Alligator mississippiensis: one gene and its partner. The protein of the gene in region 1 purifies or fractionates together with the protein of each later gene. This does not show direct contact. Links are inferred from orthologs where the notes say so. Each region holds a gene or a part of one and is shown on either strand. Other genes may lie near its edges.

Region 1 (3,912 bases):
AAACAGACAGTGTACAGAAATGGCTTTCAAATTCCCTTGGCTTGAGACTAGATTTGAATCAGTGCCCTTGAGATGAACAGCTATTCCTTGCCAACTAATGCTATTCTAATAACAAAGTTCCTCGGTTCCCCATCAGGATAATACCTGTTTTCTAAAAGGTAATTTCCACTAATGATTATCAATGAGATTATTCTGTTTACTTTGTCCTGGTTGAAGCATAGTTGCTTTTTTTTTTTTTTAAGAGTTACATGTATGCAGCTATACAGGAGCCTGGTGAGGTGACTTATAAGCAGGGGGTCGCAGATCAGGAGTAAAGGGCATTGACAGAGTTGTGTGGGAGCCTGAGACTGGATCAGTAGCATGCACTTAGGGGGACAGGATTAGGACTTCTGGCCAAAAAGAGAAAGAGCTCAAAACTGCTGTGAAAAGGAGCCTAGCAGGTCAGGACTGAGGCCATTGGCAGAGCTGTGCATAGTCGTTATCAGGGATATTAGTTTGGACAATGCTGTATCTGTCCCAGCTTGTCTCTTTAGTCTTTTCATCACCTCTCTCCCTTCCTCCTCAAAGGCACCCACTGCCCTCAGAAAAGCCTACTTATATGCATGTACACACACCTTTCACCTGCCCAAGTCATTTTATCTCTGTGCCATTTTTCCTTTCCCTCTAGTGGGACCAATGAGTGTAACTAAGAGAGAAAGAAGTTGCTGAGCAACTAGTGGTCCCTCGAGGAGGAAACAGCAATCCACCTGCACTTGCCTTCCCAGGTGACCTTCTCAGGTAGGTGGAGAAGTGCTCTTATCCTGGCTGTTTATACCACCATCCATGCACACTGTCCCTTTTTGCCAGTCTCCCTTGGATGGGATTCCTCCTCCTTCTCCATCAGAAAAAGCTACAGCTCTCCCGAGCGCATTGAATACTCTATGTATGACCAGACGGGGCAAAGGCCAAAATGCAAGAACATGGCGTCAGATTATTGATCACTGAGGAGGCCTTGGCCTGAGTAAATACATGTCATTTGATATGTCTGTGCGTGAGTGTGTAGCCAGTCACACACAGAGCTGCATGTTTCAAAGGTAGGTCTGTAGCTCTGGGGGGAAACCCCAGTGTCTAGAATTAATCTAACAAAGGGAGGCTTTTTTCTGCTTGGTTTGTAGTTCCTTTTTGCTGCTGTTGTTTTGAAGGGAACCCTTGAAGGTGGACTAAAGACCCTCACCTGTTCCCTCCCACTTTGGGAGAGGGAACCCAGATGGGGAATGAAAGGTGACCACGGAGAAGCAAAAGAAGGAAACCAGTGCTTTCCATTTCAACTGTGCATGCAGGAGACAGGATGTGGTAGTGCTAAAGGATTCATCGTGCATTTCTGTGCCATCTTTGGTTGTGTTCGACATTTCTGGTGAGTTGCTTAATTTTTACGCTGTGTTCATGTGTCTCTATACTGAGGGGTGGGCAGGTGGGTGGGTATATGAGGTGGGCCACAGCACCAGGTGAAGAGAGAAGGCTGGCTGGTACTCACACACATCCATGCACACATACGAGCACAGACCACTGTACATGGATCCACAGGCATGAATACCTGAGGATTCAAGCACGTGTTTTCCTCTCACACACTGTCTGGCACTCTTCATACATTCACAGTCATGGAAACACTCAGGTGCATGCATTATCAAATAAATGCTTGGGATAACATGTCCTCTAGGAGGCATATCCTCATGTAAGCATTTTCATAGACTGGAAACTACCACACATACACTCAGGCATGAGTGTCGGTAGGTCATCAAGGTGGCAGTCCATCTTGTTAGGTTATGGCACGTCTTACCTGAGGACCATGAAGCTTGCAGGAAAGGGAGCAGACAGGAGGAAGATGGACCATTTGTTGTTGAATTGTGATTAAGGGCAATCAGAAGATGTTGGTCAGCAGGACAGTGAGGAAGACAAAGGACTCAATTGCCTTTGGGCATTTACCCCTTGCCACAGTCATATCCTGAGTGGGTTATAGCTCTGAGGTCCCATACAAAAGCAGCTGGAGCCCACTACCCCTGTTGAGTTTGTAATATGGAATGACAGGGTTATATTTACCTGTCCCTTTACAGATTGAAGGTCAGCTGAGGAGGCCAAAGGGGAAAGAACTGGAGAGGCTGGGTGTGATTGCAGTAGCAGAAACTGGAGTGCTCTGAAAGGACATACATGGGACTGAGCAACACCACATGGAGATCTCAGCAGAGTTAATTAACCAGGGCTCAGCACTGTGTTAATATGGTTATATTACTTCCTTTGCCTGACCTAGCTCTGAGGGAGCTGTGGTCAGGTGTCACTGAATTGTGTCGTCTGGGCACCTTTCCAGCAGTAACAGGGTTGTGCAAGCTGTGAGTGTGTGGGTGTGTGTTCAGATACCTCCTCTAATAGAACTTAACTCTTAAAGCTATTCCTGGCCTGGTGGTCTAACACCTTAACCTGAACACAAACATGTATAATGATAAAAGTATAATTAAAGCAGGATAACTGTGGTGGGGAAGCAAGGCCCTAGTTTGTTACAGTACAGATCAGTATGAGATGAAATAACTAGAGAAGGGGACAAGTCAGGGAAGCATTAATAGGCAAGCCAATACCAAAAGATGGGAATAGAATCCAGCATCCTGACTCTCACCTTGGATTTATGTAGCATAACATGAATTTACGATCTTATATCCAGACTAACTTTAAAAGCAGGATCTTCCTGTAATGAGCAATATGTTTCTTATAGATGAGCCACAGGGACAGTTGTCACAGTTAAGTATCAGTCCGATTAATCCTTTGGAATAGAGTTTTTAAGTCAGATTCTCCCAGTCCAGGGACCTTGTGGCATCATTTTCACCTGTGTGATGAGAGTATAAAAATCACCAGCCTATTTTAGTTGACTTTTGCCAAGGCAGCAGGAAGTCTGGCTTGGAGTGGTTTGGATTCTCTCAGTTCTTACTGCCCATGGGGTGATAGCGCTCTCCATAGTCAATGCACCTTTCAGTTAGGAGCTGGGCATGGAATGAAGGGAGCAAGATCTGGAGCACTGTGATCTCAGCAGAGGTGATGCTGGTGCATTCAGTGACATTTGGGGAGAACACCTAGCTAGGCTAGGGAAGCCTCAAAAGATTAAGATATTAGATATTTAGGGAATGTATTTACAGGGCAAGATCCTAAAGGCCTAACTCAGTCCCTGCCTCAGCAAAAACTGGATGAACTCTAACTGGATTTTGGGAGTAGTTTTACTTGTGAAAGCATGGGGCAAGGTCTCTGGTATTTGCAGGTAAACAACAAGGGAATGCATAGATAAGTGAAGAGGCACATAATAGATGATAGAAGGCTTGCTGGTAATGAGCAAGTGGCATATAGAAGAGCTGGCCTGATCATTGGTTTTCTGCTTCGTTAGATGGCCATGATGGAGGCCAAAGAGCAGGAGGATGTGAAAACCCCATCTGAGGATGAACCTAAGAGGAGGACACAGGACTGCCTGCGCTATGCACCTCTCTGGATTGTCCTTGTTCTTCTGGCTGGAGCTGGAGTGCTGACCTGGTATTTTGTAGGTAATGGGTGATTTGCTTTCTACACTGGGGCTGATATGGGCTGGCAAGGATGGAACTGGTCCACATCCAGTCCTAAGGGAGTCAGTGACTTCTGGACATACAGCAGTGGATGACCACCACCCCATCCCCTGTATACAAACACAAACACCAGTGCCTCACTAGACTCCACATTCACAGGCTAATCTATCTGTGTCATCTGTTGGCAGACTACAGACCACGGTTTCTGGAACCAACCATCCTGCAGTTCTACTCTGGTAGCCTCCGGATCCTCAATCGCCAGTACTCGCTGGACCTTGGACGGCTGGAATCCAGAGCCTTCTGGACTGAATCAGCCAAGCAACAGAAGATGGTGGGAATG
Region 2 (3,912 bases), on another chromosome or scaffold:
AACTCAGTGCAGTCACAGGGTGCAACCCTGCTTTCCAGCTGCACGGCAGCTCCCAGCTCTCCCACCGGGGGGGTGCATGACAGCTCAGGCTGTTTGGCTCCCCTACAACTGCTTCAGGCTTTATTTAGCCAGATCCACTCCCTTGACTTGCATTTCCCCCCGCCCCTGCCTCCCACCCTGGGTTATGTTTTAAACACATGGAACAACCCAGCCCAAGCACAGGGACAGTTGCTCACCCCGGAGCAGGTGCTTCTGTCTATTGATTTATCTGTACTCTGGCCTTTCGGGAGCTTTTCTGTGAAAATCTGCCCCCCACCCTCACGTAGGAGTGGGTTACGGGTGGGGGGCAATGGGACAGCTGGATTAACAGCTTCCTGCGTCTGCTGTCCCCAGGGATGCAGCCCAGAGGATTTCAGCTCTCCCCACATCTGGAGTGGAAATGCAAAGAGGAGTCTGGGTCTCTCATGTCTACACTCCTAACACCCTCTTTTCCACTCGAGATGGGCCCCTGGGCTGGGAGGATTGAAGGAAGGAGGAGGAGGCAGTGAGACGCAGAGGTGTCCTGATGTTCTCCAGAACTTCCCGTTGCAGAGCTGGGACGGGGAGTCCGTGGCTTCCCTGAACCACTGAAGCCATCCCCTGAAGCCCCTGCAGCTTCTGATGTAGAAGAGAAAGCACCCCAGCTTCTCCAAGGGGGTTTGTGCACTCTAGGAGGTGCCCAGAGCTGCCCTCCACGTCCACCCAGGTGGACCCTCCAAGAAGCAGGACAAGACACAGGCCTCTGGGCACGAGACCCATTGTGGCAACATATATCTTGATCCTTCCTGTGCCAAAACCAGCGCTGGGAGTTGTTGAAACCTGGATTCTGCCCAAGCCCTTCCCGGCTTGGCTGCTTTTCGTAGATCCACTGAGTTGGTTTAAAGACCGATCATCTTCTCGGCTGCAGAAACTCAGCTCCGGGGCGTGGGGAGCCCCAAATCCATCGCCCTAAGAAGAGAGCAAGGAGAGGTCCAGTGCAGTCAGGCGTGAGCAGGGCTGTCAGATCCTGACGAGGTCTCACCAGCATCACCTGGGGGGTCTCTAAGTTTTCAGACAAGAAAGCGGGTGTAAACCAGAACGTCCTCGGCCCTCTGGAGTCTCCAGCCTCCCCCCCTGGAATCCTGCTTTAGGGATCAAAAATACTGCTGGCTATTTTTAAAGTGGTAACTTAGAGCTTCTGTTGGGCTCCCAGGGACGGATCAGGTTGTCGTAAAGTTCAGCTGTTTTCGGCTCGCACCATAGCCAGTCCCCCGGCGTTAGCAGACTCGGTTCCCTTTTTTTTTTCTCTCCTGTCTCCTTCCACCAATGCTTCTAGCTGGCAGGTGAGACCGGGAAGTCGGGACCAGAGCAGCACAAATGGCAGGGCTGAGGTTCACCAAGGTAAGCATGAGCTCTGGCTCCTTTGGGTTTTCTCTTCAGAGGGCGAGCAGTTGAGGTTTGCTATGCCAGCACTCCTCCAGCCTTTGCTAGTGCATCACAGTCTGGAGCTGCCACTGCAGTTCCCCTTGCTGCTGTTCCACCCGGCTCTGGGGGCTTTGCCTCTGTCCTTGTACTGCATCAATCCTGGCTTCCCCATTAATCCTGACTATCCCAGTCCTAGCACCCTGCATGGCTCAGCCCATGGACTTCCATCCCCATGTCCGCTGCTCTGGACCTCGTCCTCTCTTGAGCATCTTCTTGCAGGATGGTGAAGGGTTTCCTAGGGGAACCAGCAAGGCAGGCCGAGCCTGTCTGCACAAAGATTTAAATCAGATCACTTTAGTTGAATTAGGGCTGGTGGAATTGCCGGGGAGGCTGGACAAACTGCCTGGGAGGGTGCGGACAGGGATTTATAGATGCATAGATGCTAGGGTCGGAAGGGACCTCAATAGATCATCGAGTCCGACCCCCTGCATAGGCAGGAAAGAGTGCTGGGTTTAGATGACCCCAGCTGATGATCCTGTCTTGGGTGGGGGGTCAGATGAGATGGACCTTGAAGCCCTACCTGTCCATGCATAGTGTTGCACCGAACCAACTAAGCAGCTATAAAGCTGCACCTTTGGTAAAACCTGGACCATGCTCTGTGTGGTCCAGGCCTGGCTGAACGCACTGCATCATCCCCCAGGCACAACCTAGGGCTGAGATTCATGTGCCAGTGCCTCAGAGGTGTCCTCATAGGATGAATCATCACTAAACCAGAACCCTGGCATCTCATCTGCTTTTGGAGAGTCACTGTTACCCCATCCATGTCATGGCTCTGGCAGGAGAGGATTAATCAGCCGGGCTTTAATTAGAGCAGAACTCCTCCACTTGGGGTTTGGTACTAGACTGGCATAGAGAAGGGAAGGGGGTATATCTGTTTGGGATCCAACCAAACCTCCAGGACCGTCTGGATCTTTTTCTCCCTGTTCCCCATCACCTCTTTTTTAAGGTCTCCCTCTGCCCTACTGGCCCGCGGCAGGGATGACACAGCAGTGCCAGAGCCGTGGCATTTCTAGGCAGGGCCAGGAAGCAGAGATGATCCCAGGTCCTTTGAACCCAGGCTCCGAATGGATCCGGAGGGGCTGGAGGTTGTGCCAGCACAGCTGTCTTCTCTGCTTCCTCCTCCTCCTTCCAAACTGCAGCTCTGCCGTGTCCTGCCAACTCCAGCCTGCAAAATTCCCAGCCTCTGTGCGCTGAACGCATGCATCCCACCTAACGCCTGGTTACATCTGCTGCAAGTCCCCTTGTTAAGGCTCCAGACGGCCTTGTGGGCCTGGCAGCACATTCCTGATTATGGGAGCTGGCAAATTCGCTCCGTGACCTGCGTGATGGCTCTGCGTGACCCATGTGATGGCTGGGGGGGACCTGCTGCAGAAGAGCAGTGGTTAAGAGGTTAAAGTCAGGGGTTCCCATAAGGGGGTCTGTTTGAAAGGTCTGAATAGTTCCCTATCCAAACCCCTTTGTGGGGCCCGGATGGGACCTTCTGCTCTTCTGGGAAGAATGTTCAGCTGCCCCCACTTCTGCCCTCCCTGTAACACATTCCCACGTGGGGCATCCATGCCCTGGCACAGCTGGCAGCTGGTTTCCAACAGATGGTGCTCATCCCCTGCAGTCCAAGTCCAAGCCCTGGCCGGGGTGGAGCCTCATGGGAAAAACCAACCCCGAGGCCATGACACGATGCCCTCGGGACTCAGGAGAGGGGCAGATAGAGCGGGGAGGAGTGGGGAGCCTGATGGGAGCTGCAAAGAAGGCTCTTGCAGTTCACAAGGAGGGGTCAGGTCTTGATTCCACCCAAAAAAGCAGGAGCTGCAATTTTATTGAGTTTATGGTATCTGAGCCCCTTTTGGGTGAATTATGGTATCCAGGGACTGAGTAACAGTTGCTCCTGGGTGGAGGAATTAAAGCTATGTGGTCTCTCCCTCCACCTGCTTCTCTTTCCCTTGGAAGGCTCAGGTAAGGCATGAGGGGCTGGGTGGATGGATTTATGGAAGGAAAGAAAGAAGGCAGGGAGGATGGATGGATGGATGGATGGAGGGATGGATGGATGGATGGAAGGAAGGGGCTTAGTGCCAGGGATGCAGACCTTTCTCTGCATTTAGCAGTGGGAAAGTAACTCTTCTCTCCAAAGCTGATAGGAAAAGACACTCTGCCAGCAGCAGTTTGCTGCTTCTCTGAGGCCAAGCCAGACTCCAGCAATTTGAGGCATGCTCTTTGCAAAGCAAACCCCACTGCATGCTTTTGGCAGAGCTGCTTATCTCTTTCACAGGTGGACTTGTTAATTAATCCGTCTTGCTTGGGTTTAACGAGGGGGCCTGCAATCTGTCTCCTCTCCAAACAGGCTGGTTTTCAGGCAGGACTGGAGATTTGCATTGTCTGCAAAGGCAGGGGAACAGATAGGAGCTGGTGTTTTAG

Evidence for each region.
Region 2: the proteins of TMPRSS6 (region 1) and HJV purify together in Homo sapiens (co-immunoprecipitation; 3 studies listed by IntAct). This does not show direct contact. The link is inferred for Alligator mississippiensis from reciprocal best matches to the Homo sapiens genes TMPRSS6 and HJV.

What each region holds. Positions count from the first base shown.
Region 1 is NC_081827.1:100,544,559-100,548,470, forward strand, and holds the start of TMPRSS6 (transmembrane protease serine 6), read left to right. Parts: upstream 1-1,001; 5' UTR 1,002-1,393; intron 1,394-3,400; coding exon 3,401-3,554; intron 3,555-3,760; coding exon 3,761-3,903; intron 3,904-3,912. UniProt on the Homo sapiens protein: Membrane-bound serine protease. Through the cleavage of cell surface hemojuvelin (HJV), a regulator of the expression of the iron absorption-regulating hormone hepicidin/HAMP, plays a role in iron homeostasis.
Region 2 is NC_081838.1:17,970,397-17,974,308, reverse strand, and holds the start of HJV (hemojuvelin), read left to right. Parts: upstream 1-1,179; 5' UTR 1,180-1,419; intron 1,420-3,184; exon of another isoform or gene 3,185-3,453; intron 3,454-3,912. UniProt on the Homo sapiens protein: Acts as a bone morphogenetic protein (BMP) coreceptor. Through enhancement of BMP signaling regulates hepcidin (HAMP) expression and regulates iron homeostasis.